Linked DNA regions of Nothobranchius furzeri. The protein of the gene in region 1 interacts with the protein of each later gene in a pairwise test. Links are inferred from orthologs where the notes say so. Each region holds a gene or a part of one and is shown in the gene's direction. Other genes may lie near its edges.

Region 1 (6,260 bases):
TAGCTAAAGATTTAGCTCTGTGTAGGGCTGTAGCGAAGCGTCAATGACATCGACTGCTCGATTCTATAAATTAGTCGACGTCAGATCTGGTAGTCGACGCACCACGCCCACTTGTTGCATCCCCAGGAGTTTGTAAATAGAGGTGGAATCTGCCTGTTTTTCCTCTAGTTCACCCTCTTCTCCGCCTTCACTAACATCTCCACCAAATACCGAAGACCCGGAACAAAGTCCGTCCACTACTAGATTCCTTTCCTGTTTTGCCCGCCTTCGTCCCCCGGCAACGGACAACTTCCAGGGTCAGATGCGCTGCTCCGTCTCTATCGCAGATGTAGAACATCACCGGGAGCGTTTCTCCCTTCATAAAGGAGCTTCTTCAGACGTTACGAGAGCTGTTTTTGTTGTAGCAGTCTCTCCTCCGTGCTGGTCTGTTTGCTGCTGGGTATTTTTGGTTTATTTAAACTTGGTAACTTGAACTAAAGCTACTGTTAGCATCTTCGCTAACAGCTTCTTGCGTTTGGATAAGCTGTTATGTTTTGGTTTGGAGTTAATCTTTTTTGTGGTGCAGATCTCTCTTTTATTACATTTAGAGTGTTGTGGGTTTTCGGTTTAGTTTAAAATATCACCTTGAGTTTGGTTTAACCTCCCAGTTTAGAGTTTGGACCTTTGGAGATCCTTATTTTGGTCCGGAACTCCATAATCTTTGCCCAGCGGGACATCCCTACTTTTTTGTACTTTTGTTTTAATTCCCCACAGGCAGAATTAGTTTTATTATTCCCAACCTGTGGATGGAAAGATTTATGTTTTTTTGTAGTTGTAAATAAACCTGATCATCATTTTAACTTTTAAATCCCTTCCTTTTTGTACACGAGCCAAACTCCCCAGGAAGAGTCGTAACACCACTGGCCTCACACACATAAGTGACCAAAACAAAGCAGCATGGAGACAGTCCGTCTCCAACCACCTCTCAGGCAGCAGCCTGCACTCCCAAGTTCTACATGACACCAGAACATAAACAACCGCAACACAATAAAAGCAGTGTTATACAAAATGGAAGGCCTGTAGCGTTTATTCTCGTACAGTACCAATTGATCACATTTTTTGAGGAATTTATTTGAGATTTTCTGTTTTTTATTACTTGTGCAATAGAAAAATACTAATAATTAGATTAATCGTCTAAATAGTCATTAGAATAGTCGACTATTCGAAAAAATAACTGTCAGAATTATCGTTTTAAAACTAATCGTTTACCCCCAGCCCTAGCTCTGTGTAGGCCACGCTCCAAATGAAGAGTAGATCTAGCATTGGCCCGAACAATTTTGTTTCTAGTCAATCACAGTGCTCTACATTTGCAGAGGGGCATATAGCGGGCTTAGCACCAGAGCTACAATGGACGAAAATGAAAACGTGTGCTCAAGAACGGCGCTCGTTTGAATCAACTTTGGACGATTTAGACTTGGCTTTTCTCTGAGAGATGAGCATATAGAGGTACTGGGTCCTTTATTTCAAAAAGGATGTATTTGTGTTTTCTTCTTTGACGATCTATTGCCGAGTGCCCCTTTGACTGGTTTCCATAGTGATGAATGTCAAGTTGCTCATTGCTCTCACTGGTCCCAGTGCTGTCCAATTGCGTCTGAAGACTGTTTGAAAAACAACCACAGAATCCGCCCCACGACGGGGGTCGTGGCTAAACTAGATGTTTACATAAATGGGATGGCTCGCCGGGGTAATGTCACCAAAATTAGCTGCAGGAAGGAAATAAACAGAAAAACGGTCTGTCAGAAAAAGCTATGTTGCAGGGCTGTGTTGGTTTAGCGGCCATGAGACACCAGAGTGGGCAAGTGGAAGCTAACCATTAGCATTAGCAACTCCACAACATGGCCGAACTCCTTCAGGCTTGTGTTATTTGTGGAGATTAAAACATCAACACTGAATTTTTTTTTACCCACGAAAGATGAGCAAACGGAGGTAGCAGAAGAGTTGTGTTGATGTTAGCCAATCAGAGACCAGATGTAAGCACATTATGAATATTAACGAGCAAGACTCAAAATGTCATTTTCAGCAAAAGAGCTGGGAAACATGCCAGCACTCGGCTTGGGACAAACCAGAAGAGGGCTAGAGTGATGGAATAGAAGCATTCTACACTGACTCAGAAAATAAAAGAGCACTAACATGTTTTATTTTATTTTTTCTTTTAAAGCAGCTCATTCTCTCCGGTTTGTAGTTGGGACACTGTTCTTAGACTAAGATGAAGACCGACTCCAGACAACGCATAAGGCTGATGACTATGTTGAGCGTTCTGTATAATTATTTTGTTTCCTCCTCTCTCTCCTTCCTGCAGGCGTCTGCTCACCCAGCTGGAGGTGGCTAAGGGCAGCCGTGGCAGCTCTGCAGGAGACTCCAAAGCCACTTCTGCAACAAAAGGTCCAGATGGAGTGGTGCTCTACGAGCTGCACAGCAGACCGGAGCAGGAAAAATTCAACGAGTCTGCCAAGGTGATGTGGAGGTGGAGATAGCAGAGCCTGTTTGGATGAATAAATGTAGTCATTTCAGCTGCCCAGTGTGGGTTTTTCTGTTCCTCGTGAGTCGATGTCAGAATAATTCATGACGATAAACAGGATAGGAAATAAGAAGCAAAGTGCGAGCCTTGTGGGATGCTGTGTTCACCGAGTCTGCCTGTTCCTTCCCTGTAGATGGCAGTGCTGGAGAAGCGTCTGGCTCAGTTGGAAATGGCTGTTGGCTCAGGATCAGACAAGCAGGTACACACCGAGCTGCTCGCAGTGCCTACACACTTCCTCCGAAATGCTTGTCACAGTTCCTCCCTACAATATCCGTTTCTCTGCTTTCAAACCACAAACCTTTTGGGTCTTTTTCCACAAAGTGAACGTGAAATAAAGTTGATTGTTTTACGGAAAGGCTTCATTTTGCTGTGGTGAATTTATTTTCCCCTTGTTTATATTGTAGGGACCACTGAATGCTGGTGTGCAGGGAGGCAGTTTGATGGTGAGAAACTTTTTTTTTGATGAAGTAAACTCTGTTCTACAAGAAAACTGGGTTAGACGTTGAAGACGTCACCCGATGTAGAAACAGATTTGAGGCTTATTTATGTAACGTGTGCTTATCTTCGTTTCAGGACACCATTGAGCTCCTGCAGGCAAGAGTCAGCGCCCTGGATTCTGCTACTCTGGATCAAGTGGAGGCGAGACTGCAGGTGACCACTCCCAACAGAGCACGCAGCCATGAGATTGTAGAAACTGTTCTCGTTTCTCCTTGCATCATTTGTTGTTTCACTTAAAACTTAATGATTAGAATTGGTCACTCATGCAGGCTGAACATGAAAATAGTCTCCTACACCCTACATCTCCTGTTTTAGCTTCTGATAGAAAATAGACAGTGAAACGCTAGGATTTAAAAGGCCTGACAGATCTACGTCACACTGTTGCGTAACATTCACACACTCAAGGCAGAGAAATATTTTTCTTCCATTGTCAAACATCTATTTGATCATTTTTGCTCAACAGAGATCAGACGGAGGTGTTGAAAGACACGAGTCCTCTAACGTACGCAGCTCTCAGTCTGCTGTGGCTCCATGAAAATTATTCTCATCACATTTAAGACTCATATTGTTATATTGTTTCACCAGCTGTAGTCTGTTGACTGCTACGAGAGGATAGCAGACTACATTCCTCTATCTGCACGTTGCAGCCCACATTTCTGTAGTAAATGACCTCCCAGCTGCGTTTTGCTCGCTAAAAACGTTGCGTTTGGATAAACATTTGGATCGGATCTACAAATAATGTTGACGGTGAATGCTCCCTACATGGGTGTCGATGTTAACCCGGAGCCATCACTTATGTTTTCTTTCTTTACCCGCCGGCCTGAAAACGATGCCTTTTATGTCATTTATCCTTCTCTCTTCTCTTCTAGAGCGTCCTTGGGAAGATGAATGAGATTGCTAAGCACAAGGCAGCGATTGAAGATGCTGAAACACAGAACAAGGTTGGTAATCTAGCATGAATCCGTGGTAAGTAAATGTTTGGTTAATAAAAAATGACTTGTGGAGCTGTCGGTGTGTCTTTTTGAAAAGAATCACCAAATCTGTGACATCTTTTATTGCAAAGCATCTACATCTCTATTGATTCAGAAAAGGTTTCCTCTTCTAGACTGTTACATGAAACCGCCCAGTAGGGAGCAGCCTATGTTCCCAGAATCCCACCCTGATTTCCTGTTAGTAAACTGGTCTAGTTTTTACATTCCCAAATGATTGTAACATTCAAAGAAGAGTCACAGGCACGTTCTGGAAGTCTCTAACATGAGACTGGAGAGTCATTTTTAACGCAGGGACGTTGTTTGTGGCCATAAAATGAAATGGCAAACTGTAATTTAACAGCTGCTTAAACTTTCTGTTTTGTTCATCCTGCCGTTTAGACTGAGTGAACAGATGTAGAAAGCACATAACATTTAACTCTCAGGCAGCCTGAGCAGCATGTCCTGCATAGAAATTGTTTAATAATTTTTTTTTTCTAAAATAAAGAAAACCTGAAATGCCCAAAGTCATTTGAAATGTATACAGTTAAACAGGAGTGGAGCAAACGGAGCAGAAGCTGTTCCCAGGCGTATGACCGTGACCCCAAAGGCCCTCTGTGGGGGAGACGTGGGGACTAAAGGGTGGATGGCCCTCTGGTAAGGGGGCCATCCACCCAGATAACTACTAAAAACCTCATTCTAACCTAAACATTCAGCTTTTCATGAGTTAAATAGAAAATAAACCAGTAAAAGGTTCCTCTGTGTGAGTGTTGCTGAGCTCAGCCTGGCTTGATCACACATTACTCTTCTACACCATTTTAATGTTTGGGTTTGAGGAAACTTGGATACTTTTCTAGTTCTTACACCACATATGACCCTAATTAGGTTGGAAATAATAATGGAAGGAAGTCTTCACATGATGATGCTCCATTTAGTCCAGTAGCACATATTCGCATGAACCAGTTACATTTATCATTGAACAGGAAGACTAACAGGCACAAGTTAGTCTAAACAAGCATCAATTATGCACAATGCAGTCTGCATGAGACGACAAACAAAACTAAACAGGATAACACCATTTAAACATAAAATATAATGGAACTTACTACTTCACTCATAGAACACACACAGGATAATAATAAAGGTACGTATCTGTCGTATTTCAGCAGATATCAGCGTAGAAACACAGCCAGAGTGAGCACTAGTTCCAGCAATGATGCATTCAGGGACATTCAGACATACAGCAGTTTGCATAAAGGCTTTTGTACAGGATTGATTCTGAATCTTTAAAAACAAGAATCGTGATTCAGACATGAATTGTTTGTTTTAAAGGCATCTGTGGCATACCACACAGGTGCATCTCATTCTTTTAACACGAATAAATCTGATTGTTTCTACATTTGTGCTTCTGTACTTCTACCCGTCAGGTGTCACAGCTGTATGACGTGGTGCAGAAGTGGGATGCCGTGTCCACTTCCATACCTCAGGTGGTGCAGAGGCTTGTTGCTGTGAAGGAACTGCATGAGCAAGGTAAGACGCATCAGATGAATCCATCTGTCCATTGTCGGTACCTGCTTGTCCATGCAGGGTAGTGGGGGGCTGGCGCCCATCTCCAGCGGTCTCTGGGCTAGCGGGTGGGGTACACCCTGGACAGGTTACCAGTCCGTCGCAGGTCAGCATCAGATAATTAATTGAGTCGAGTTGCTTTAGCTGTAGTTCTTTTATTTCATGAGGAAGAAAAAAATCGTTAACTGAGAGAGAAAAAAAATAACCTTGAAATGACGCCCATGAGGGTTCAAGGGGAGCATGTATGTAGGATAGTGGGGGAGGAGTTGGGGTAGTTTCGATTCCCCACAGATCAAAACAGGGAGTGAACTCTGATCACGTTTCAGGCTGCATCTGATATGTCCTGGTTTGAAGGATTTGCATCCACTGTGGAAATTTCTGTGTGAAACAAAAGATTAAAACAAAGAGGAAATGAGATTCAAAGAGATAATGGAGTCTTACCAAACCATGTCTGTCAAAAAATAATAACAGAGCAGAAAAATCAGAACAGAATGAAACCAAATCTTTACCAACATTTAAAAGAATTGCTTTCGGAGAGATGGAGATGTCTGATTCTTGATATCACATTTTTATTATTTAGCTCATAAAAGCATAACTTTATCAATAGATTATTTTGAGGATGATTTTCTGGGAGCAGAATGAGGTCCTTTATCATTCTGCTCGTCTCTGCA
Region 2 (6,260 bases), on another chromosome or scaffold:
CTGCCTTATCCCTCCAGGTTCCTCCTCCAGCTGGTCGGCGTGCTGCTGGAGGACATCTCCAGCAGGCGTGTTAAAGTGGACATCGGTGAGCAGCAGCACACCTTCTACTGCCAGCAGCTGGGCACGCTGCTCATGTGTCTCATCCACGTCTTCAAAAGCGGTGAGCTCCTGTTGTGTCAGACTAGCTATAAGAAACGTGACTTTGATTTTTAAAGTCATCGGTGCGAAATGTGTTTTTCCTCTCAGGAATGTTTCGCCGCATCACCGCTGCAGCCGGCCGTCTCCTGAAGGGCGAGGGCTCCGGTGGACAGACGAGTGCCGAAGCTGGTCTCTTCTATCAGTTAGAAGGACTCAACAGCATGGTGCAGTCCCTCGTCACCACCCACCCGTCTCTGGTGCTGCTGTGGTGTCAGGTTCTCCTCATAATCAACTACACCAACTACTCGTGGTGGGCTGAAGTTAACCAGACACCCAGGTACCGACTCGGGGTCCAGAGGAAAAGGCTTAGGGTTTTTAATCCTGGGGTGTTTCTCAATGCCGAGGAACCTTGCCTTGATGTCTTGGCCCCGCCCCGGTTGCCTAGGAGATACGTCATTGAGAGCCGCCAAGACGTGTTCCAATGTCCATGTTCTACCGAGGCGTGTGTTTTCAGTTTGTTAGCCGTTTAGCTAGCTGAGCGAGGATACACGGGAGGTGTCTTGTAGCCTAGCCTTGGTCAAAAATTACCCACAATACACCGCAGTATTTTCAAAAAGATGGCGGATCAGAAGCCGGCAGCTACTTCGGGGACAATCTTCAAGTTTAAAAGTGAGTCAACTAATTTAAAATGTTTTTTTAGATCCAAAGAAGTTATCTATGGTTGGTTAGTTGCTTAGTAGTTGCAGCTTCGGTGGCTAGCAGGTAGTAACTCGCTTATATATTTAATTAAATAAACATATACACAACTTAAAAAGTAAAAGGCTCGTTATATATTTATATTGAAACTAATACGTATAAAATATAACGTTATCTCCCGTGTCACGTGACGTTGCGTGACCGCCGTGGAAGCCGTGGTCATGTGATGCTAGTCTGTTCCATTTAACCGTTTTCTTTGACCAAGGCAGGGTGTCCGCGGGGTTTTAAAAAGTATTAAAAAGTGATAAATAAAAATAGTCAAATTTAAGGCCATTAAAAGTGTTAAATTTGGTCTCAGAGGTATTATTTTTTCCAAGTTAGGTATTATTTTTTTCAGACTATCAGGTGTCGTATTCTGAACATCGACATAGAAATATATTCCGAATGAAATGTTTTGAACGATTATAAAAATAAAACAAGCCGATTATTTGCTCCTCCCACTTGAGCTGCCCTGAGTTACAAATGAAGCGCTCCGTTGCCAACTTAGCGACTTTGATGCTATTTCCAACAGCTTTTCAGACCCCCTTCTTGACTTTTTAAATCTTAAAAGTACCTAGCGAACACCTCAGAAACATCTCTGGTAACCCTTAGCTACTTTCTGGATAACTATCGTCGACATTTCCTGCTGCAGGTTAGCTAAACACTCCGCCTGCGCTCCGGACCGTTCTTCAGGACATTAGGAAAGGGAATGATGTAGTGATGTGTCAGTCGCTAAAGAAACGGCTCTCGGAGCCGGCTCCTTGTTGGAGTAACCAGAGTGAGTGACACACACCGTACCTGCGGACTCCTGAGCCGATAAAAACGGCTAAGTGTGCGCGTGCGGCGCGCTAAACACACGTGCAGCTTGCCCCGATTGCTGTGAGACCGGGTTGGGCGGTGGGGGGTGCAGCTGTGGTTGGGACAATTATTACATTAACTGATGGACTTGTAAATAAATAGTTTATAAATAAGGTAGAAATAAGTTCCTCACGCTGATAACTAATAACTAATCTCTCTGAGGACACTGTGCTGGTGTATTCTCCTACAGCACCTTGACATGACTAAATAAATGTTATGCAACATTTTGTGAACATTAATTTATTTGCATTTATTTGTTATAAATGCCACTGTATAATTCTTGCTGTCAGTATTTGCAAGATATTGGTATTTGGGTCTGTACTGGTTAGACTTAAATGAGTTAAACCAAGGTCTATAGCCCTTGGGTCATAAACTATGAGCTATAAGTATATTGGTCTTTTTATACTGGGAATCAGGAGTTCTTTTAGTGATCATCTTGTTTCTTGTTTATTTTTGCCCTGATTGTGCCCTGAGCAGTTTTATGACTGAATAAAAATAAATTTAAAAAATCTACATAAATTGAAAAATCGTCTTAAATAATCGAGATCTCAATTTCAGTCACAATAATCGTGATTATTGTTTTTGCCATAATTGAGCAGCCCTGCTTTAGCATATCCGGTCACATTATGATGACGTCATATTCAGTGGTCGTTCTGCATCATTTCAGGCCCCGTGGTCAACTGTCTGAACCGCTGAAAAGAAGTGCCTGGCATATTTTCTAAGTAAAATAAATATGCGCAATACGTTGTCAACATCAGTGAGTCTCTAAGTCTATGCTTTTTGTATGTTATATATGTTAAAATATGTGTAAATAGGTCGCTGATTAACACTTGCAATTTAGTGTTGTGATGGTTTTAAAAAAATTCTGAAGGTAGTAAAAAAAAGTATTAAAAAGTAGTAAATTTTACTTAAGGATTGCTGTATATACCCTGCAAGGAAGGACCGTGTCCTCGTAAGCAAGGCGCCTGGCCTCGCGAGACATCGCCTCGCAAGGCCAGGCGCCTTGACATTGAGAAACACCCCTGGTGTTTCTTATTAATGTTTTAAAAATGGCTGCTTTTGTCTTCTACTTCCTGCCAGGGGACACAGCCTGTCCTCCACAAAGCTGCTGAGTCCTCACTCCTCAGGGGAAGAGGAAGAAGAAAACCCAGAGTCCCAGTTAGCCATGGTCAACCGGGAGATCGTACGCAGAGGAGCCTTAATTCTCTTCTGTGATTACGTGGTGAGACTTACACGTGTGGAGGAGATTCGATTTTCCCGCCAGGATGAAGATGAAGCAACTTTAACATGAAGTCTTTTACTTTTAGTGTCAGAACCTCCACGACTCGGAGCATCTGACCTGGCTGATTGTCAACCACGTCCGTGACCTCATCAGCCTTTCCCACGAGCCCCCTGTCCAGGATTTCATCAGCGCTGTTCACCGAAACTCAGCCGCCAGCGGCCTCTTCATCCAGGCCATCCAGTCCCGCTGCGACAACCTCGCCACGGTATGGCGACTTTTAACTCCTTACCTCCCTGTCGTCCCAGAGTCCTTCACTGATGTGTGTGTGTGTGCAGCCCACCATGTTAAAGAAGACGCTGCAGTGTCTGGAAGGCATCCACCTGAGTCAGTCCGGATCTCTGCTCATGCTCTATGTGGACAAGCTGCTCAGGACTCCCTTCAGGGTTCTAGCTCGCATGGTCGACACGCTGGCGTGTCGCCGAGTCGAGATGCTGCTGGCGGAGACGCTGCAGGTAAGGCTCACCAGGTTGTCTGATGGATTGTGCTAGTGGTCTGGAATGCATCCCACCAGTGAAACTGAAAGTCAGCGTTGATCCTTTAGAACAGCGTCGCCCAGCTTCCTGTGGAGGAGCTGGAAAGAATCCAGGAATATCTCCAGACCAGCGGTTTGGCCCAGAGGTATCCTCCCAGAACGTCGGTTCTGGATCAGAGCGTCTCTGCTGATTATTTTTGTGCTCAAACTCAAAAATGACAGAATATGTTGTCTTCTGCCCGTCTCCGCCAGGCATCAGAGGTTCTACTCCCTGCTGGACAGGTTCAGAGCCACTGTGACCGACACCGCTAGCCCCGCCCCTCCAGTTACACCACACCCCTTAGACGGGGAGCCACCCCCCGCCCCGGAAAAGATCGTGGCTGACAAGGTGAGGATTCAGATTCTGGACGGAGCAACAAATCTGCAGAATGAGTTGTGGAGCATCCAGGGAACCGTGATCCTGGGAAAAGAGGAAAACTGCAGCTTTGTATTTTTCACTTTGGAATGAGAACAGTCAAACTGGGCTGCTGTTGTGATTTTATTTAGGAATGGTACGTGGCCCTTGTGAAGTCCCAGTGCTGTCTCCGCGGAGACGTTTGTCTTTTGGAGACGACCGAACTTCTGACCAAACTACCTCCTCCGGACCTCCTGAGCACCATGAGCTGCAAGGTGACGTGGAAACGGGCGGATCGGAACACTTCCTGGTGCTTAGTTTTGTTTGTAATGATTCTTACTGAACGCAGGATTTCAACCCGAGCCTGTTGTGTCCGAGCCTGAGCGTGGGCTTGCAGAGGTTAACGCGGGGTCAGGGGTCACTCCTGTTGGACACGGCCTTGCAGGTGACCCTTGAGCAACTAGCAGAGGTCACGGGGTCACTTCCTGTTCCACACCAGCCTTTCCTGCCACCGCCGGAACCGCAGCCTTACTGGAACCATCTGGGTGGCGTGTACGGTGAGAGTGAGGAGGCGGAGCAATAAGACTCAAGACGAATGAAGGAAAGAAGAAACGGGAATTTCCTTTTTTATCCTTTTGTTTCCAGATGATCCAAGTTTTTATCCCAAGGTTCTGTCGCTCTGCCGAGCGTTGTCCCAGTACCTGCTGGGCGTCGGCCAGCTGCCGCCATCGTTGCAGATCCCCCCCGATAAGGAGCAGCTCATCACCACGTTCACCTGCACGGCTGCTGAGGTAAACCGGCTGGGGTCGGGCCGCCAGTAGCACACAGTGGTGATTCGCTAATGAGACGGGTTTACGGCTGTGGGCGAGATGGTCCAAAACATTTATCACGATGTTTCTGAGCGTTCTGGTGTGGCGATGAACCGGACGCCGTAACAAGTAACATCATTATTGCTCCAGGACCTGATCACACCCTCTATTTATTCCCAAATTCCACTTTTTCAGCTTTTATTTTTCTAACTTCCACATTTCCACGCTAACTGTGTTTATTAGCCCGACGGGTGTGATAAAACAGTTGAATCTTAGTCAGAATTCAAAATGTAACAAACTTTCACAAACAGTCGTCCCTCATGAACTCATTCACTGCCAGCGTTTCTCACCGTTTTTACTGGTTTTTTTTTAAGAGTCACAGAACGCGCGCTAGCATGATGTCGATGCCAAAACTACCAAAACAAAGCGGAGACTCACCTCTTACATCAGGAAGAATGCGCGTGTTTCGAGCGTTATCCGTTCTTTCATGATCCGTTGTTGAATTGTGATCGGCAGAGGCTTTTCCGGTTCGCACCTCACTTTTTTTACAGCAGCGGCCCAAAACGATCTCCTAACACGTGGACGTTCTGCTTCCTGATCACGTGACGTATGACGTACGCGGATGAAGATCGGCTTTAGAGCTGAGATGTTTGTTCTCACGGTGTGGGGGCTCGTCCGACGCCCACACAGTAAAAAAAAATCATCATTGGCAGTTGTAGGGTTTGAGAAATTGAGTGCTTTAAGAGCTCTATATATTACCTCTACTTATGACCAATAAGCTGTGGTACTCTATGTAAACATAGAATATCACCCTGCCTGGTCTTTACTGTGTTTTAATCAGAAGATTCTAGGATTCTTTGTTTATTAGGGGATTGTAAACACTTTGTTTTGATTCAGAAAAGTCAGGTTTAATGAAAGTAAGAATTTATTTGACAAACAATGACATGACAGTTTCACTAATATTTACTGTGATGGATGGAACTAGATGTGAACAAGGCTGGAAAAGCCCTCAGGACCAACTTTCTACACTTTTCTCAGACGGGCGTGAGCATTTTCACTTTTCTCTCTCTTTTAAACTCTCTCAGTAGTCCAGCATCACAGAATGAACCCGACGACTGAAACCCGTCTTCAGGCCCAAACATCTGGCCCAGATTCAAACGTTTTCCTTTAAATAATAATGATGGATTCTAGAACTAATTCAATTTTAAAGCGCAAGTCACCCCCTACCTGAGTATTACTCCGCTCCCACTTCCTGTTTGAAAAATGCAACAAATGCTGTTGCCTAGCTGACCGAAAGGGCGGTGCCGCTAACAAATACACACACACACACAAGCTCATGACATTGTGACATCATATGGTACCAGCTAGAGCTATAGCGACGCATCGATGACGGCTCGATTCTAAAAATTTGTCGACGTCAGATCCGGTAGTCGACGCTTATCGCCCACTTGTTGCATCCCCAGGAGTTTTTCCTCTAGTTCGCCCTCTTCTCCGCCTTCACTAACATCTCCACCAAATACCGAAGACCTGGAACAATGTCCGTCCGCTACTAGATTCTTTTCTTGTTTTGGC
Region 3 (6,260 bases), on another chromosome or scaffold:
AACAACGGTGTTATCGTTGAAGTACTGTGTCACTTCCAGATGATTTTGGTTGCTTTTGAGACTGTGTCCATGTCCGAGTTGGGAAAGTTGGTCCATCTGGTTCTCTCTGTGATGTTCTTCCTCCTAGGATACTAAGGGAAGCACCCTTTCTTTTGACTATTATAAGTGGTAGTCTTAGTTCTGGTGTGGTTCTGGCTTCTGGACTGGACGTTTCACTATTGGCTAATTATAGGCCCATCTCGAAGCTCCCCTTTTTATCAAAGCTCCTGGAGAGAGTCGTGTATTCTCAACTAGTTGCTTTTTTTAAACACTCAGGAGATCTGGGAGGCTTTCCAGTTGCTGTTCAGGGCTGGTCACAGTACTGGGATTGCTCTCCTCATGGTCCTCAATGACAGCTCTTTGGCAAGCAACATCGGAGATATGATAAATGATAAATGACCCGCACTTGTGTAGCGCCTCTCAGAGTAAGGACTACAAAGCACTTTACACTACAGTGTATCATTCATCCATTCACACACACATTCATACGCTGGTGGTGATGAGCTACGATGTAGCCACAGCTGCCCTGGGGGCGCACTGACAGAGGCGAGGCTGCCGAGCACTGGCGCCACCGGACCCTCAGACCACCACCAGTAGGCAAGGTGGGTTAAGTGTCTTGCCCAAGGACACGACAGCAGAATTCTCTGTCCGGAGACGGGATCGAACCTGCAACCTTCCGATTACTGGACAACCCGCTCAACCTGTTGAGCTACTGATGCCCCTGCTGTAGATGTAGATCAGGGTATCCGCGGGTCCTTAAAAAGTCTTAAATTAGCTTTTCCAAATTTAAGGCCTTAAAAATCCTTAAAAATGACAAATAATCCTTAAATACAGTTTCCAAAGGTCTTAAATTACCAAAGACCCAATAAATAAGATTCTATTATTTCTGTCAAATTTTTCGTGAATTTCTAGTTAGTGTTCAGCATTTTTTGTGTATGATGTTGGCGTAAGCGGAACCGTACACATTCAGCTGGTTGTGAAAGGGGGCTATCTTTAGATGAGCACATTAGCTGGTTAAGCTAGTGGGAGCTCGCGCCATGGGGAAGTGCAAGTTTAATGGTAACTGGATGGTTAATCCCACGTTCGCAAAGTGGTTAGCACCGGTTCCAGGCAATAGCTGGAAATTATAGCTTAAATTTAATTTTAAAAATAGCTTAAATTTGGTCAAAGTGGCCTTAAAAAAGGTCTTAAAAAGTCTTAAATTTGACTCCCTTAAACCTGCAGATACCCTGGTAGATGCTGTAGTTCTGTTGCTGTTATCTGTCTGCGGCCGTTGATGCGGTTGATCACGACTGCAGAGCTGAGTGGAGATCTTAGGGCTAGCGTTGGAGTGGACTCGCTCATACCTTCATGCCAGGAGCTTTTGTGTGAGGATGGGTGAGGCGTCATCACCTTGGGTGGGCCTACAATGGGGCGTTCCGCAGGGCTCTGTCCTGGGCCTCCTTCTGTGTACCTTTGGGGATTCTCCTACATCAGCATGGTGTGAAATTCCATCTATATGCTGACAACTGTCAGATGTATCTCCTCCTTTGGCGGGGAACTGGTGGATCAATTTCTACGAAGGCCAATCTGTTTCAAAATGCACAAACTTTTACCTGTTGTGTGTGTTTGTACAACATGATGTGCAACATGACCATCAAACATGAAACACTTCTCAACCTTTTTTTTTTTTTTTTTTTTGACTGGGAGAACGTGTCGGGATTTGTGTGTTACACAGCACAGAGTTCTTAAAGTTGTGAAAGCAAACATGGCTGGAATCTCACAGTATTCACTCACGGTGGTGACAGAGGAGTCTAGTGCCCATCTTGGAACTGGAGGGTTGCTGGGTTGAGCCCCACTCTGTCTGTCACAGTCGTGTCTTTAAGCACCACCTGGTGGTGGTCAGAGGGACCGGTGGCGCCAGTGTTTGGCAGCCTCACATCCATCAGTGCGTCCTTTCATTTCTAAAGCCTTGTGAGATGAACTTGAATTAAAAGGTTTGGATGTGAGACCTGATTTCCTGTGTTCTGGTCTAGGAAAGCTTAACCTGGTGGATCTGGCAGGCTCTGAGCGGATCGGGAAGTCTGGAGCAGAGGGCAGTCGGCTCAGAGAGGCTCAGTGCATCAACAAGTCGCTTTCTGCTCTCGGTGATGTCATCAGCGCGCTACGAGGAAAATACTCCCACGTTCCCTTCAGGAACTCCCGCCTCACCTACCTGCTGCAGGACTCTCTGAGCGGTGACAGCAAAACTCTGATGATGGTCCAGGTGAGACCTGGTGAAGTCCAGAAACTAGTCTTTGTTCCTTCCTGCTGTCTCATGCCTGCCATTCCTGCAGGTTTCTCCGTTGCCTGGCAACATGAGTGAGTCGGTGTGCTCGCTGAAGTTTGCTCAGCGTGTTCGCAGCGTCGAGCTAAACTCTTCCTCTAGGCGGCACGAGAACTCGTCCACCTCTTCCTCACCCACTCACAACAGTGTGGAGGTAACTCTAAGCTCCGCCCAGCTGGTCAGGGCTGAGACGTTCACATTTTTTTGGTATCTTCAAAATAAAAGTAGACTAAACAGTGTGAAGTCTTATATTACAGTCAGATGCACGACGGTTTTAATAAATCTGCTGTAATGGAGCCATACGTGAGGCTCCTGGGCTGGACACTAACCCAGGTCTAGGAGGTGGCCAAGCTTGCTCTCCATCTACATTTTGATGCCTGTTGATAAGACCTTGTCGTAGAAGATTCAGTCCAAAATAGTGCTGAACAATTTTAAGAAAAGGATTAAATAGAGATTTTTTAGCTGCATGTTTATGCGATTTTGTCCTGCCGTTACCCAAATTCATGGCCTTGGGTGAAGGTTGGGATAAAGGTCGTCCAGTACCGTATTTTCCGGAGTATAAGTCGCACCAGCCATAAAATGTATAATGAGGAAGAAAAAAAAACATATATGTCGCATTTTGGGGGGAAATTTTATTATTTTTCTTACGAAATCTGAGACCAAGCGTTTCACATCGCAAGACAGGTACCGGTAACAATAACAGAATAAACAATCAGGGCGCAGCAGCGCGCCACGGTCTCCAGCAGAGGATGGCGGTGTTTCAAACCCTCCCAGCGGGGCAGGGGAGCTGAAACCTGGACCGGAGCCGGACCGGAGCAGCGCGGTATACACTGATGTATAGTATAAGTCGCAGGACCAGCCAGACTATGGAAAAAGTGTGACTTATAGTCCGGAAAATACGGTAAGTTAAGAGCCTGGCTGTTTGGCTCGGCTCCTCTTCACACCTACAGACGAGTTCAGCCTGTCCAATTCCCGTTTACTCAGTCGTGAACAAGACCCAGAGATACTTAAGCTCCTCCACTTGTGGTAGAGTCTCTTGTCCGACCTGAAGCTGGCCATTCACCCTTTTCCAACGAGACAAAGACCATGTTCATTATTGCTCTAAAGGGTTCCCGTTGACTGAAACTGCAGATGTGTATTTTCATCCCAAGAACCAGAGCAGGGTTAGGGAACAGGTTCCTGCTGCTCTTCTCTAATCTGTGAGTCTGGATTAGCCATCGTGTTTTCATTTAACTGAGGGCTACAGCCATTAACAACATTTACATTCATATAAAAATAAACTTTGGATATTTGATTCCCCGTCAGATCACTTGTGCTATTTGACCTCTGACCTCTCACCAGCTGGACTCTCCCCCTGTGACGCCGGTCCCCCTCCCCATTTCTAGGGCCAGCAGTGCTGGGTCCACACTGTCTTCCACCTCCAGAACTCCCAGCAGCTCCCGCAGGAGGTCCCAGTCCCAGCTGTCCACAGGTACACACACACACACACACACACACACATTCCCCTACACACACACACACAGACATAAAGGTTTACGCTTTGTTCCTCAGCAGCAGCAGTGCATTCTGGGAGACGAAGCTGTCCAGCTGATGGAGTCCCGCTGTCAGTCTGTCCATCTTCCTCTGTGTCCTCCTCATTCTGTGCTCTGATTGGTTGCTTTTCAGACAGACAGGTTGACGGAAGCAGCCCGTTGTTGGGGGACGGTGGGCAGGTAGGTGAGGGTCTGTGTGCTGATTGGACCGTTTGGCATGAACGCTCAGCATGGCATGCCCCGCCCGCCACCTCCCCTCGTGTTTGTGTGCCTGTAGGCCTGTGGCAGGGCCCACTGAACCCTTGGGTCCAGACGACCTCAGGTTCTGGCCCTTATGAGCGCTGAAACACCTGGAGGTTGTTTAGAGCTCATGTTGTTCCCCCTACCCTTCCCACCACCTGCTGAGGATTATGGGATGGTTGTTTTTATTTTAGCTCTTGGTCTTAAAACACACGAGCTGCAAATGTATTTATTGGTTACTATGGTAACAGTGCTCGTGTTGGCAGAAATTAGGAGGTTAAAGATGAACATGAGCTGCAGGTGGATTCACTTCCTGTTTGGTTAGGGTAAATACCAGCTGTACGCTGCAGGTTTGAGCCTAATGGCTTCCTGTAGCCGAGGGCGCTGCAGATGTTAGTTAAACCTGGACTGAAGGATCTGGCGGAACAACTGAGTCTGCGGTCTGGTTCAGCTGTGGTTCTGATTAATGTTCTCAAAACGTCCACTGGGCTGCTGATTTCAGCTCCGGGCTGGTCCTAGCCAGAGTTCTGGTGACTGTGCTTTAAGGATCTGTGTTCTTCATAGTTTTATCTGGGAATCCCTGGGCTGAGACATTAGATCCCCCCCCCCCCCCCCAACCTATCCTAGGCCCGGGACAGACCTGTTTGTCCCTCCTCCTCATGAGCAGGCCTGCTCCTGCCTCCAGACTCCTGACCAATCAGCAGACTGAACCTTCTCACCTGCTTTTAGTTCAGCGTTTTGTGTGAAAAGTTGAACCTGAAACAAGCTGCAAGATCAAACTGATCAGCTGATTTTGACCAGAACCCCCTGCTGGCTGTGATGTCATGTGTTTGGTCATGTGACTACAGCAAGTGGACGGACTGACTAAAGGTGTTTGTCTCTGCAGGACGTCTGAAGATGACGACTTGATGGATCCGGACCGGACCACGCCCAGAGGTCTCCACTGACTCCTCCCCTGGGTTAGCCCCGGTCCCTAAACCCAGAATAAAATCTACAGTATTTTTTTCTTTTTATAAAATTGCACTTTAAATGTTTTAATGGTTTTTCAGACTTGGACCCACATCTGGGCCAGATGTGGGTCCTGGTTCTGTTGATGTTCCTGGAGATTAAACATCTTTAGTTTTAATTTATGGAAATGGCTTCAACAGAGAATCAGAGGTTTTGTTTCCAGTAGCTGAACTCTTCTGTCCAATCAGACACAAGCAGCTGGACAACTGCAGGTGACCTTTGACCTCAGACACCTTTTGTATTTTGTTTTTAATAAATTCTCCAGAACCAAGCGGCTTAGTGTCATCAATGTTTCAGAACCTTTTAGGTTTTTATTAAATAGTTATCAATCCTCTGATTGGTCCAGAGCAGAACCAGGTCTTAAGTCCTGGTACCTGGTTCAGTAAAGCATGTGATCAAAGTCTGTGCTGGCAGCTGTTCTGGAGATGGGTCAGAACCAGAACCAACGGTTCATCAAATTCAGTCTGTTGGTTTTTAAGACGCGCGCCTCGGTTTGCAGCGAGTCCTCGTGGGTCTGGCTGGTCTCAATGTTGTAGCTTCTTCAACTTCTGTTTTAATTAAACGATAGAAAAGTTTGAGTCCAGCTGATCCACCCTGACCCAGTTCTGCTGGTTCCGGACGGCTCATCAGGGCGTTTCATCCAGCGGTGTCATGAGCAGCTGGAGCTCCTTGAAGGTGCTGCCATGGCGACCCACCTGGCACGCCTTGGTCTTTACGATGTTGCTCAGATTCTTCAGATGTTTGCTGCACTCGCGGCACTTAAGGGTTCTGCAACAAAAAACACAAAGTTCTACAACGTCTGACAGGAAGCACCGAACCCGGTCCGGCCGCTGCTCGCGGAAACTTGCCTCTCTTCTCGGCTGATGTCGACTCCGACGGCCGGCGCCGCCTTCAGGCTCTGGGAGATCAGAGTCCAGAAGTGTTTCATGATGAGCTTCAGAGACGTGGCACCGGTCTGCATGTAGCTGAGGAACAGAACCAGAGCTGGGTCAGCATCCTCCTGCTGATTAAAACCGTTCTGTTCTGACATCACATGATGAGCTCTGATTGGGTCTCACCTCTCATATTTACTCTGCAGCAGCTTGTCCATCTGAGGCAGGACAGACAGAACCAGGTCCAGTTTCCACAACGAGCTA
Region 4 (6,260 bases), on another chromosome or scaffold:
CCGACTTTGTCATAAACATGGTGACTGAAGTGGAGTTCGCTGCGGCCCGTTCCTCTGTTCTAAATGACTTGAACACGTCTTTAAAACCACAAGTAGAAGCGCTAAAAGCCTTTCTTCTAAACAAAGACGCTTGTGCTGTCGCCAGACTCCATTTTTGACTACAGCTAAAAAAACTACAGCGTCGCGGACGTCACACACGGCGGTGCTCAGTTTGTCATAAACAGCGAAGACGGCGGCGGAGTTCGCTGCGACTCTTTCCTCTGTTATAAATGACTCAGATGTCTTTAAAAACACAAGCAGAAACGCTAAAAGCATTTGTTCTAAAAAATAAAAGATCTTTGCGCCGTTGCCAGACGCTATTTTTTTACTACAATAAGAAGTCTACCGCATCGTGCGGTACAGTCGGGATTTCCGTCTTTTTTCTGATTGGTTACTTTTGAGCTGCCTAGTCCCGCCCCTCAAGTGCCTCTCTGCCTGTGAGAGAATTAAACAGAGGACGAGTCTGGCAGGCCAGGCTAACTAAAATAACCTGAACTTTAAACACTGTAGAACAAAGACTAAAGATAAATTAACTAAGGATAAATGAAGTGACTAAAGGGAAACCCGAAGAAGCTGGGGACCAAAAGGGGGGCATAGAAGATTAGGGGACACATGAGGGGAACCAGGAGGGGGCTGGGGACCACAGGGACACAGAACATGACACAAAAACCTTTTTTGGGTCGCCGGACGGTGTGGGGATGTTTAGAACGTATAACTGGCTTCACTGGTGGACATGAATGACCCCTTATAGACTCCAAGGCAGAGAGGAAAATGATCTCTGCCTGCCCTAAACAAAGTCTTGTTTATCCTTATCTGACGCCAAGGCAGCCTCTCAAGGCTGCTCAACACTCCCCCACGAAAGGAGGAATGCTGACAGATGCTGTGTCCCGACCGTTCCCCCCCCCCCCCCGCCTTCAGATTGTGACTTCTGCTTCGAGGTCAGCAACCTGCAGGAAACTCAATGTGCTCTCTGTCCCTCATCCCTCCCTCCCACCTGTTTGACTGCAGCTGACTGAGCGCCATAATGGCAGCTCCCGTTGGAGGATTCAGGATCCCGCCCAACCCCGCCTCCCCATCGGACTCTGACGTTTTGTAACTGTGATGTTCGTGCTTCTATGTTGAGGAGTTTTTTTTTGTATAATAGAGCTACTCCCCGCTGGGTCTAACTCTTTTATGCCTTTTTTTTTTACCTTACCCCAATTATCCTCATGCAACACCCTTTCCATCTAATGAAATGAGCGCCATTCTGGCTGCTCTCGTGACTGCCTGTACCTGTTTCTGTCTACATGTGCGTCTGTTTAACCTTGGTCAGGTTGTGTTTGCGGACTCAAGTTCCTATGCACTGGGTCGCTGGAGCGCTGGCAATAAAGCTTATTCTGATTCTGATTCTGATTTTCTCTTGCTTTTAAACAACTGTTTGATTGACTCTAATGAATTAATGATTATTTCTTCTGTTTTGAACATTTTCTGCCTGTTTTGCAGACTGCAGGAGGAGGAGCAGGTGTTAAACCTGTCCATCAAGGAAGCTACAGCTAAAGTAAGCCCCTGCTCCTCTCACCTGATTTGTTTCCTTAACCGCTCAGCCTCCTCGCTGCTTGCCCACAGTGACTGAATGTGTATGAAAGCCTAATAGTCAGAGCAGACAGTAAGTGCCACTGTCGGAGTGCTCAAAATGCAAACTAAATGTCAGTCTGCATTCTTGTGATCTTTTTTGATTTGACAAAGCAGTGATCTCTTCACCGCTGCGTGCTGGAGTCAGAAGCAGCAGGATGTGCCATTTTGAACAGCTTTTTTTTCCCAAGTGAAATAGGGATGTTAAAGATAAAGCTGTCAGATTTTTTCTTTTGAGTAGAGGAAGTACATAATAAAGTAAAAATAGAAGTCTGGTCAGTATGGTGTGTTTTTGTTTACTCTCATTTGCTCCACAGGGATTGGACGTTCCCCTTTTATGCTAATAAAGCTTCTGCAGCTGGAAAAAAAAAGGCAAAAAAGTGTAAGAAATTGCAGTTTACAAACAGCAGGTATGAGAGGTCACGTGTCCTTTAGAAACCCATCATCAAACCACCGGTTTGCTGCACTTCAAAGCAACGTTCGCACTTCCACCAGTCGCAAGAGTTTCCATTGTTATGTTAGGAATGAAAAGTTTGGTTCTTAAATGAAATACCCACCATGTGGAAAACGGCACACTTGCTGTGACGGAACGATTCCCGGCATGAAAGTGACTCTCATTCTCTCCGCTTTTGCAAAATTGACAAAGCCTGATGTTTGGAAATGAAATCGTCGGTGTCAGAATTTCTACAGACGGCAGAAAGTGCTCCACAGAGCTTCTTGCATGAAGTCAAAAATTTCAAGCCTGTTTTGCTTTATTTCTGTGGGAGGAAAGAGAAAAAAAAGCCTCCCTGGAGATGTTCTGCCTGTGAAATACCAATCTATTTGACAACCATGTGCAGAACTGTGTCAGATTCCAGAAGAGGAATAAATGCATAAGAAGATCCACTTCTAGGTATCTTTGAGGTGTGAAAACAATTCTTCAAAAGAAACGAGGATTTTATGTGAATGCAGCTAAAAGTGTGTATGCTTAGGAGCAGAGTGGATGGATCGGATCTTTAAAAAAACTCCATAAATTCTGCTCTGAGCGGCAGCTTCTCATCCCAAAAACCTGCTCTGACTTTCTAATAGTCCATATATTATATGAAAATAAGCCTTTTGTGTCATCTCTAGAGGTTTTTGATGAGGAGAGATGATTCTCGGCTGTGCATTCAGAGCAGAACAGACGCTGAAATGCAGATAAACCTGTAAGGTCGTCAAAGAATGAGTTTCAGATAGAAAATGAAGGCAGACGAGGAAATGAGCAGTGCATCATGTGGGATCCATGCCTGTGCAAAGGTTTTGCTAGTTACCACCCTCCCCATCTCACTCCTCTGCATCTTCTTCTCCTCTTTATCCCCAGGTGGTCATGAGTCAGAGGCTGGGCAGCAGCCTGAGGAGAAAAGTCAGCGAGACCGACACGCAGCTTTTGGCGCTGCATGAAGCCAAACTGGCAGCCATCTCTGGTAACTTTCCACTGAGCTTTACCTCCAAAACCTCCCTGCTACATTACGCATCCTTTCATTTACCCCATTTGCTCGAATCGCTCACCATTAGCCTTGCTTGATTACCCCATTAATGCTCAAGAAGCTCATTAATAGGCGGTGAGAGTGTAATGCCCTCCTGTGGTGCACCGGCGCAGGTAATGACTTCAGCAGCGCCAAGGAGCTGAAGGCTGAGATGAAGGCGGTGTACCTGGAGCGGGACCGGCTGGAGGCTTTGGCCAAGAGGCTGCACAGCCTCAGCTCAGGGAGCAGCCAGGAGCTGGCCGGGATGAAGGAGCAGCGGCAGCAGCTCAGGCAGGAGCTGGAGCAGAGGGAGGCGCAGCACGGTGAGTCTCTGAGGCCTCCTGCAGGTAACAGGATGTTAATAAAATCAACAGCTCTTTCCTGTGATTCAACACTTCTATAGTGAAGAGCTCACCTGGTCATTAACTAGATGCCTGCAAACTGTTATGCTTTACTTTCCTTCCCAACTTAAACCAATACAAGGATGAAAACCTTTTATTAACAACAAACAAGCACCCAGAGAATTCCCTGCGGACTGCCTGAATGTTTTGATGTAAAAACACCACTACAACACCAACGCCGACAGATTATACGTGCTTACTTTGATTTAATGAGGTAAGCAGCAGTTGCTTGGCTAGAACGCTAAAAACCAGCCAATAAATCTAACATGATGTTTTTTCTAGTTTTAAGCAGTCTAGCCACGCAACCTTTTGTTTCTCCAATTGGCGGAATTTTTTTACCCAAAAATTATAAAATTAATAAAAAATATGAAGAATAACATGTCCATTTTTTTATTTTCACTTTCTTGTTGCACCACCAAAAAAAGGAGAATGACCAAACTTGTCGCTCTGTCAGCTCAAGCATCCCGCGTGGCTCCTCTAAACCCCCGCCGCTACTGCCTCCACGCTTATTTAAAACATTGGCAGTGATCTCTAGTTATACGTTTCGTGTCACACGCTGGAGAGAAAATCCTCCAGTGCACCTGTTTCGGGAACTAAAAGTGAGCCAAATCAAAGTTGAGCTTCAAATGATGATTTGGATTCTTACTTCCCGATATTTGGACACCTCGACGTAGACATGCGATTGGCTGACAGCAACGCCACTCCACCGCTGACCCCATTTGCTCTGCAACGTTGATGTTTTATCTCCACACATAAAACAAGCCTGGAGGAGTTCTGCTGTGTGGTGCTAATGCTAACGGTTAGCTTCTACTCGTCAAAATGTGCTCTGCTGTTTCCTGGATGCTGAACTGTCGCGAGTCGAGATCAAGGACAGTGTGACGTGAATCTGTCAGGCTTGACTAACTCTAGAGTTTCACCGTGTGTTTTCTGTTCGAAGGAAATGCAGGAAACAGGGATGGAATACTATTTTCACATTCAGAGTAACCGATCATTTAAAAAAACTATTTGTACCGTAATTTCCGGACTATAGAGCGCACCTCAATATAAGCCGCACCTGGCTTAAAGCCGCAGATATCTACTGGATAGAAGACGTAGTCTAACTGAACGTAACTGAACTGATCAGTATCAGACAAAACAGAAAAGTTACTGATTAGTTTGTTCATCGTCCTCCTGCGCTCTGAAACCACTGAAGTCATCTTCTTCTTCAGTGTCGGAGTTGAGCAGCCTCAGAAGAGCTTCGTCACGCACCTTTTCTGTGGCGATGTCCGTGTCATCATCCCGGGTGAAGCTGGGAAAACAAGCGGCGCCGTTTTACTGTGAAAAACCCCTCCTGGGTGCTTTCCGTAGCGCTCCTTTAACCATTCCTTCATTAGACTTTCCAGCATCCATCCTTTCTGGTGGACTAAAGCCGCACCTCATGGTAAGCCGCGTGGTTCAAAGCGTGGGGGAAAAGTAGCGGCTTATAGTCCGGAAAATAAGGTAATAAGGGTTAAGGAGAACCCTGAATGTGTCAAATAAAACAACCGATCCTGGGTCACTCAGGATGGAAACCCAACCCTCTCGCCATTATCACTCCACTGACCTGTTCTTTATATCTCCACAGCAAAGTTCTAGCAGATACACATGTTGACCACGTCATAAACACACGCCTCGTTGCAGATCTGCTGTTTGTTCAGATGCATTTCTAAAAGTGATCATTTATGCATCAGTTGTAGTAAATCAGTGGTTCCCAAACTTATTTAGCCGCGCACCCCCTTCTATGTCCCGACCATGTCGACGCACCCCCCCCCCCCCCCACACACACACACATCACGGCATGGCTATATATATATATATATATAGATAGATAGATAGATAGATAGATAGATAGATAGATAGATAGATAGATAGATAGATAGATAGATAGATAGATAGATAGATAGATAAATAGATAGATAGATATCAGACGTCAAGCTAAACAGACAGGGTTAAAAAAAATATGATCGACCTTTTTCCCCATCACTTTCATTTTTTAAATAGTAATTAATAAACATTCGATACCATTACAATTTCCTTTGATTTAATTTTAAATAAATATTTAGAGTGCCCAGGTAGCACATAAACAATGCAATTTAACGGTTTTCTTAAAGTAGGAACGTTTAATCTGTGCGGCCAGAGCGCTCTCCTTCCTTCTGCTCTGCGTAAACCTGAGCTGATCACCTACTTGTGCGTAATCAAATGTCTATAGGGGAAAAGCTTTAGCCATGAGGTTCACTTTTGCCTCAGACCGACTTATTGCTGTTTTATGGTGTGGCTGAATCTGCGATCCGCTGCCACGCGGACTGGAACAACATGCTGCAGGTTCGGAGTCACTGGCTGGAGCGGACCCGACTTTAATACATCATCCCAAAATAGAAGCTAATATCTTAATTTGACCTGGAATGAAAAATGTTGATATAAAACCTCTTAAAAGTTTTTATCACAGAGGAGGCAGCGCTCATTTCTGCCTTCAGTCTGACGGTATCAGTCTGGCGCGCCGGAGTTTGCGCAGCGTGCACTTATTGAATCTCTGTGTGTGTGTGTGTGTGTGTGTGTGCGCGCAGCACAGCTCCACGAAGCTTGGTTTATGCTTGACGCATTCACTTTCCGCTTGGTGATGCGTCTCGCGGAGGGAACGCGCTTCACAACTTGCAGCGTTTAAGTCACTGTGTCTCGTTATTGGCGCTATTTAAACCAACGTTGTAAA
Region 5 (6,790 bases), on another chromosome or scaffold:
TTAATCTGAATCCACAAAAAGCAAAGTTATAGAGGTCCGTTTAGGAGAAATGTGATCAGCTACAGTGAGAGAAAGCGAGACCTGTTCTCATCAGACACTGTGAGTCTGTCTCCCCCTACTGGTGGTTTGCAGAGTAAAATCAGTTGGAAGGAATAATAAAACCATGTTTGATATTTTCAAATCTAATTCTGACTCCATTTGAACATTTTGATCAGTAACTTGAAGTCTAATATTATATAACCACAGGGACGATGCATCATGGACTTTCAGCCCATTGATCGCGCATAAAGCCTATTCAGAAGCTAATCCACTTCAAGGGACCTGTCAATGAGCCTCTCTGCATTAAACACTGGACCCAATCAATCATGAATGCTGGTGCCCAGCACGATAAATCAGTTCCCACACACACAGGAGGGCTGAAAGAGCAGGATGTATTCAGGGATGGGATGAAAATGGCCTGCTTGAATGTCAGATTCAATGAAAAGACACATTAGATACAAACCAATCATTCCTTCACCCTTCACTCAGTCATTTAAAAAATACTTTTAGTCAGCTGTTGTATTTTCACAGAGAACTTGAGTAAACGAGTGAGCGACAGACTCCTGCTCTTTGTGGGATAATAGTCTGGCTCCGATCTGATGAGTCTGCTGTTCTAAAGTCTCCAAGGGGAGCCTCTGCAGTCAGCGGAAGGCTGGTGATTTATGACAAGCCTCAATCAATATGTGATATTAATTTTGCAAATGAATGTCAGGATGATGTAGTCCTCGGGTCTTTTGACATCTCGTGCAGTAATGTTCTTCATGGCACCGGATCAGAAGCTCTCTCCATCCCAGTGTGTGTGTGTGTGTGTGTGTGTGTGTGTGTGGGGGGGGGGGGGTTATTGTGCCAACTACAAATTCTGTGACTAAGCAGATATAGCAAGGTGAAAGTAATAAATGTGAAAATATTTCATTTGTTCATCCGAGTCTTGTCCACGTTTGTGTTTCCTAATTGCAGACGCTAAAACACCCTCTTACGATAAGTCATAGCATTTCTTTATACATTATTCTCATCTGCCACTTTTTACACATGACTTTGCATTTTTCCTGCCGGTCGAAAAAAGAAAAGTGCACGGCCTCCACAACTCCAATTGTACGGGAGCCGATTTCTGCCACTGTGATAAAAGAAAATTGGCACGGGGCGATGGTGGCACAGGAGTTAAGTGCTCGTCCCGTAATCGGAAGGTTGCAGGTTCGAGCCCCGCTCAGTCTGTCGCTGTCGTTGTTTCCGTGGGCAAGACACTTAACCCACGTTGCCTGCTGGTGGTGGTCAGAGGGACTGGTGGCGCCAGTGCTCGGCAGCCTCGCCTCTGTCAGTGTGCCCCAGGGCAGCTGTGGCTACATTGTAGCTCAGCCCCACCAGTGTGTGAATGTGTGTGTGAATGGGTGAAGGACTGATTGTGTTGTAAAGCGCCTTGGGGGGTTCCAGGACTCTAGAAGGCGCTATATCAAATACAGGCCATTTACCATAATTATGAGATGCATCCTTATTCATAAGAGATAACCAAGTCATAATAACCAAATACTATTTATTTCACCAGAGTGGCATCAATGGGCTTCCATTTAGTCTCCAAAATGAGACATTTCATAATCTTTAAAAAGTTCTTAAAGGTTTAAGTAGTTATAAAACAATAAATATGTATGTTGCAGATATTCAGTTTCTCCTTGTCAAAAGATCATTTATACTTACTCAGAGGCTTTCATCTAATATCTACAATTTCAGACCTACACAAAAAGGTTCATGGTACCTAAATCTGCAACAAATTGACTAATTTATGTACAAAATATAATGTGAAGAAACACAGGTTTAAACAAGTATATTCATAATCTTTTAATTCTAAACAAGTAAACACATGATGCGTTTATTTTCAGTGTGATGTTAATAACGATTTAATTATGCATATTTCAGTAGCAGCAGCAGTAGTACTAGTAGTAGTTTTTCAGTGTTAGCAAATTGTTTTCAATGCATTTCTAAAATTTACATCATTTATGCTTTTTCCCTTTTTTGTCTCACAATAGTTATTTTGAGTGTGCCCTATGTATTTTTATAATAGCTTGTACTTTTTATGTTTCTTATAAAGTGTTGTAAGCTGAAAACTTTCTAAGGATAAGTTATGTCTAAGTTTGAATCAACAAGTCATGTGAATACCAGACATATATTCAATTTTAACAAGAATTGTTATTCATTTTGTTTTAACTATATGAAAACTAAATATTTCGGTAAAGTTATATTTTATGGTTGTATAGGATGTAACACATGACATGTAGAAATCAGATTGAGAACACATTCCCTGCTGTGCGTGTATTTTTTTTTCAGAAGAAATTTGTAAATTTCCTTCCATAAAAAGTCTAGAAATGACACTCAAATACATGTAGAAAGTGATCCATTCTTCTAGTTAAATGTTGCTTGTGACTTAAGCCTGGAAGTTTCATTGTTCCTTCTGTCTAAAAATATCCACATGAACAATCCAAATAGTCAGATTCTACCGATTATATGATAATCCTGCTTGCCACAATTTTGCTATAGAGGCGGAGATTAGCTTAGCTTCGTCTACTAGCATCACTAAATAACGTCTCTTAGCTCTAGTTAGCTATCGTGATTTAAAAACTCGTAGTAAAGGAGTTGTTTGATGTTCTTGGTGACATTCACTGAGTGAACATGAGTTTAGACTCACTTTATCGACAAATTCTTCTGAGTGAACATCAGCTGAGCGAGCGGGCGCAGAAATTGAAAGATGGTAGGATTTCAGCCCGTTAGCCTATCTCTCAGGGCTAATGTTAGCTACTGTTAATTGTCATCACATTTTGGTTCTTTCTGTAAAAAGTTATTAACCACTTTGCCTTGACTTCAGTCAAAGCAGCTATCGCGAGAAGCAACGAGAGGATCAACAACGAGAGAGCTAACTACCAGCAGACCAAAGAGCAGCTGGAGTTAAAGGTCTGGATTTATTATTCACCCATACTGCTCATGTTTGTTTTCATTTGAGCTTTGATAGAGTGGGTCATAAATGTCGTAGTAAGATTAATAAATTAGAGTTTATAGATTAATAAGTTAGAGTTTATTGATTTGTTTAAGTATTTATAGTAAAATATGTTTTAGGGATTTGTTTTTCTATTATCCAAAACCATTTTTTTATTTTAATCACAATTGTCAATTTTTTGCTCATTTTAAATATATTTTTAACCATTTTCTACATTTTTTATATTTTTACATTTTTTGCTTTTGTGAAGCACCTCGTGATTTCTATCTTGAGAGGCGCTACAGAAATGATATTTTCTTCTTCTTCTTCAGTCTGACCAGTCTTCTCTGGCCTCAACTAGACATTTTCATCCACACAGCTGCTGCTCACTGGATGCTTTCAGTTTGTCAGGCCTTAGAAGATGGTTGTGGGTTCAAATCCCAGTGGATCAGCCCAGTCTGGTACCAACAACAGCCATGCCTTCTCTCATTTCTTCTCCATTCTGATGCTCAGCAGCTTCAGCAGCTCTTATAGATGAATAAACGCTGTTAGCTGATTGGCTGATTAGATGTTGATGTGAACAGGTGTTCTTAATAAAGTGGAGGTGAGTTTTGGGTTTGAAAATGTTCCCAGCAGAGCAATCTAATAAAAGTTAACGTGCGTTGTGGAATCTAAAGATAAAGGCGGTGTTTTAACCTGCAGCAGTGTGACGTATTAACGACATGTACACAGGAGATAAAGAGGCTCTCATTGGCATCTTGATGAGCTGATTTGCTTTTTGATTTAAAACCGTCCATCCCCGCCATCCGTTTAATCAGCGATCGATACGGAGTGCTTCTGTAAAATCAATGGCTAATTTCCACCGGATAACATTAGTGAACCCCCTCCAGCATGTGTGAGATATGATGTTTGACCCCGCAGAAATATTACTATTCCTTCTGTTGTTAGAGTGGTGAAAAGAGCCGAATGCTGGCTTTAATTAAAACAAGCTGCTGAATCTTCAGAAACACCATCAGCCTCTGCATTATCTGCACTAAAACAGCCAGCGGGAGGCTCCCTGCTCCTCCCGAGGAAGGAATATTGATATTGTTTACATCTCTCAGATATACATGTTGTGTTTACGCCATTGCGCGTTTACAGCTCTGCGGTGGGAAGCCTTCTGCTTTTCAGAACTTTAATTACACTGTTTAGAGAACTTAGATGCTCATTTTGCCTTCCGCTCTTCCTCCACCACGTGGGAACCAATAAACTCTGCTATCCTAAAGCAGAAACACCTGAGGCCAGACTTTACCTTCTCTTATCACGTGGTACTCCTCTTTCTTCAGGAAGATATTACTGTATAATTACACAGCAGCAAGGACTGAGCCAAATTTTGGAAGGAAGACCTGAGTCTGTTAGAACGAGTGTGAAAACTTGATGCTGCAGATTAAGTCTTTGTGAATCTGTCCTCTCATTAATGTGTCTGAACATGTTTCCGACGTTCCGGCCATCTGTTTGTGCTCCAGGCTCAGCAGTCGTCCACCATGAGGCTGCAGTGTGATCTGATGAAGAAAAGTGAGGAGCAGATGTTGAAACAAATCGAGGAACTGCTTTGTCAGAAGAACCACCTCAGGGAACATCTAGTGAGCTTTAATTTACATCTCAGATCACAACATTTCTCCACCCTGAGCCTAGAAACAGACCTGTTTTCAGCGGAGACCAGGTGTGACTCGACCTGTTGATAACTTTTAAGTGTTTACCATGAAAGCGAAAGAAACCACATTTCCTGTGCTGAGGTATCATCAGAAAACAGACAACGGCTCTCCATGTTTCAATTCACCACAGATTCCTGCAGATTCTTTTCACAACTAAACAGAAACTTCTCTGGTTTTTGGGACCAACGCTCTTTCATGTTGTTCACCAGCATCTCAAGCTGCTGGTGAACAGTCAAAAACTTCCTAGTATACATATATATATACATATATATATATATATATATATATATATATATATATATATATATATATATATATATATATATATATATATATATATATATCGCAATAAGCGGAGACGATATGATATGTTGTGGTACTAAAAGTTAAATAAAAGACTGAGTTCAACTGAAAAACTCAGGCCAGATGCCTCCAAGACACATCCAGTGTTAGTTCTGTCAGAATGAAGGTAGTAAAAGCTGCTGCCCCCTAGCAGTCGGGGTTTGAATTTCACCACTTAAAAGAAAAACAGTAAATGACTGGATAAAATTTCTCAATGACAAATCGATTCACTTCTAATGAAAATTAATTCTGTATCATAACACGAAATATCACAATATTTTACTGTATTTATGTATTTATTACATCCCTATTCAAATTGATTCTTGATTTTCTTTAAATCAAGCTTTCTTGTACACGTTCATCACAAGTCAAACACTACCAGCTATTACCCTAATAAGAAAAGGATGAAAAGAAAAGGTAGAAATAGCTTTCAAATGCATTTATTGACAAGAAATGTGCTTGCAGAGTAGGGATGTAAGGAAATGTCAAAATGTTGTGATGTTTCAAGTAGGGCTGCTACAAACAATTATTTCAATAGTCAACAAATCTTCAGTTATTTGGGCGATTAGCCGACTAATCGTGTCATGCATAAGTATAGCTTAATGCAGCAGGACACAGCTGCTCTAGCATACCCATCATTAGCTTCTAGTTTGAAGTGTGATCTGTTACGTGGGTCTCAATCTGTCACCAACATATTCAAAATGGCCTCGGTCAGAAGGTTTGGTTTGTAACAAACTCATCCACTGAAGAGGAGCGGGTTTTTAACATTGTAGCAGGATGCAATAAACCATTAGTGTTTGTCACCTCAGAGCAAATACGTGACCCAGGTGTGCTAAAGGTAATGAAATTGCAATCACTACTATTGTTGCTACTGCCATAAACACAAGTACCTCCCAGCTAACGAGATGTAATTAGCTTACAGAGGCGACCGCCCCGCTTCATTCTCCGCCACGACGGGCTTCCTTTTAACGTGTTAATGCATCACTGTTACACTCCCGTGAAAGGAGAGTTCTACTTCGCAGCTTTTGCACTCTACGTGCTTCTCTTTTGTCTTTGTAAAATTCTTCCAAACATTTGAGCTGCGTTTTCGGCTCGCCTGGATGGTCACTACTGCACGTGTGCCCGAAGCAGAGCGGTAGAAAGCAGTAGTGGTGCCGCAGCAGGCAGATTAAAAATTAAACAACACTTGTAGTAAATTATGTTGACTATTGAATTTGTTGGTGACTATTTTGTTTGTCGACGTCATCGTGGCAAATCGACTAATAGTGACAGCACTAATTTCATGTCATGATACTAAATTGATATTTAAAACCAGCGTATTGATTTTTTTTGTTGGATATTTACATGCTAACATACATAGTAGTTAGGGCTGCACAGTATATCGCAAATATATCGTTATCACGATATTAGCATTTGCAATATGCATAGTGCATTGAACAGATAAATATTGCATTAAATGGTCAGCTCAAATGGTTGATACACATAATGCATTCTGTCAAACTGAAGTATAATGTTTTTTTAACAAATCAAATAGAGCTCTTCATCCTTTTGGCCAATTGGGTGGGTCCTCATAGGTTAGATGCCCGGCCCCGAGGCAGACAGTACTTAATTTTGATGGTTAGCAAACACCTTAGTTAGCTTTGTTCTTCTCTTTCTGCTGATTCTGCTTTACCCGGGATCCACTGATTGCCTTTTCTTGTTCATTTTCTTTTTCCCTTTCCTCACATCTTTTGCTGTTCTTAGTCTTATGATTTTT

Evidence for each region.
Region 2: the proteins of dctn2 (region 1) and htt interact in binary tests that used the Homo sapiens proteins (3 or more experiments, as listed by UniProt). The link is inferred for Nothobranchius furzeri from reciprocal best matches to the Homo sapiens genes DCTN2 and HTT.
Region 3: the proteins of dctn2 (region 1) and kifc3 interact in binary tests that used the Homo sapiens proteins (3 or more experiments, as listed by UniProt). The two-hybrid records come from large-scale screens. The link is inferred for Nothobranchius furzeri from reciprocal best matches to the Homo sapiens genes DCTN2 and KIFC3.
Region 4: the proteins of dctn2 (region 1) and disc1 interact in a two-hybrid assay, tested with the Homo sapiens proteins (2 studies listed by BioGRID and IntAct). The link is inferred for Nothobranchius furzeri from reciprocal best matches to the Homo sapiens genes DCTN2 and DISC1.
Region 5: the proteins of dctn2 (region 1) and ccdc172 interact in binary tests that used the Homo sapiens proteins (3 or more experiments, as listed by UniProt). The two-hybrid records come from large-scale screens. The link is inferred for Nothobranchius furzeri from reciprocal best matches to the Homo sapiens genes DCTN2 and CCDC172.

The regions. Positions count from the first base shown.
Region 1 is NC_091743.1:61,816,801-61,823,060, reverse strand, and holds part of dctn2 (dynactin subunit 2), read left to right. Parts: intron 1-2,338; coding exon 2,339-2,492; intron 2,493-2,690; coding exon 2,691-2,756; intron 2,757-2,961; coding exon 2,962-3,000; intron 3,001-3,130; coding exon 3,131-3,208; intron 3,209-3,924; coding exon 3,925-3,996; intron 3,997-5,450; coding exon 5,451-5,553; intron 5,554-6,260. UniProt on the Homo sapiens protein: Part of the dynactin complex that activates the molecular motor dynein for ultra-processive transport along microtubules. In the dynactin soulder domain, binds the ACTR1A filament and acts as a molecular ruler to determine the length.
Region 2 is NC_091746.1:25,538,833-25,545,092, forward strand, and holds part of htt (huntingtin), read left to right. Parts: intron 1-17; coding exon 18-160; intron 161-246; coding exon 247-475; intron 476-2,811; coding exon 2,812-2,953; intron 2,954-3,038; coding exon 3,039-3,218; intron 3,219-3,288; coding exon 3,289-3,465; intron 3,466-3,554; coding exon 3,555-3,631; intron 3,632-3,737; coding exon 3,738-3,873; intron 3,874-4,031; coding exon 4,032-4,154; intron 4,155-4,228; coding exon 4,229-4,436; intron 4,437-4,524; coding exon 4,525-4,670; intron 4,671-6,260.
Region 3 is NC_091749.1:65,946,850-65,953,109, forward strand, and holds the end of kifc3 (kinesin-like protein KIFC3), read left to right. Parts: intron 1-2,054; coding exon 2,055-2,284; intron 2,285-2,354; coding exon 2,355-2,498; intron 2,499-3,685; coding exon 3,686-3,815; intron 3,816-3,895; coding exon 3,896-4,056; intron 4,057-5,002; coding exon 5,003-5,011; coding exon of another isoform or gene 5,012-5,063; 3' UTR 5,064-5,395; downstream 5,396-6,260. UniProt on the Homo sapiens protein: Minus-end microtubule-dependent motor protein. Involved in apically targeted transport. Required for zonula adherens maintenance.
Region 4 is NC_091752.1:2,346,043-2,352,302, forward strand, and holds part of disc1 (disrupted in schizophrenia 1 protein), read left to right. Parts: intron 1-1,521; coding exon 1,522-1,576; intron 1,577-2,989; coding exon 2,990-3,092; intron 3,093-3,268; coding exon 3,269-3,457; intron 3,458-6,260. UniProt on the Homo sapiens protein: Involved in the regulation of multiple aspects of embryonic and adult neurogenesis. Required for neural progenitor proliferation in the ventrical/subventrical zone during embryonic brain development and in the adult dentate gyrus of the hippocampus.
Region 5 is NC_091752.1:42,777,647-42,784,436, reverse strand, and holds the start of ccdc172 (coiled-coil domain-containing protein 172), read left to right. Parts: upstream 1-2,579; 5' UTR 2,580-2,697; coding exon 2,698-2,776; intron 2,777-2,890; coding exon 2,891-2,976; intron 2,977-4,503; coding exon 4,504-4,620; intron 4,621-6,790.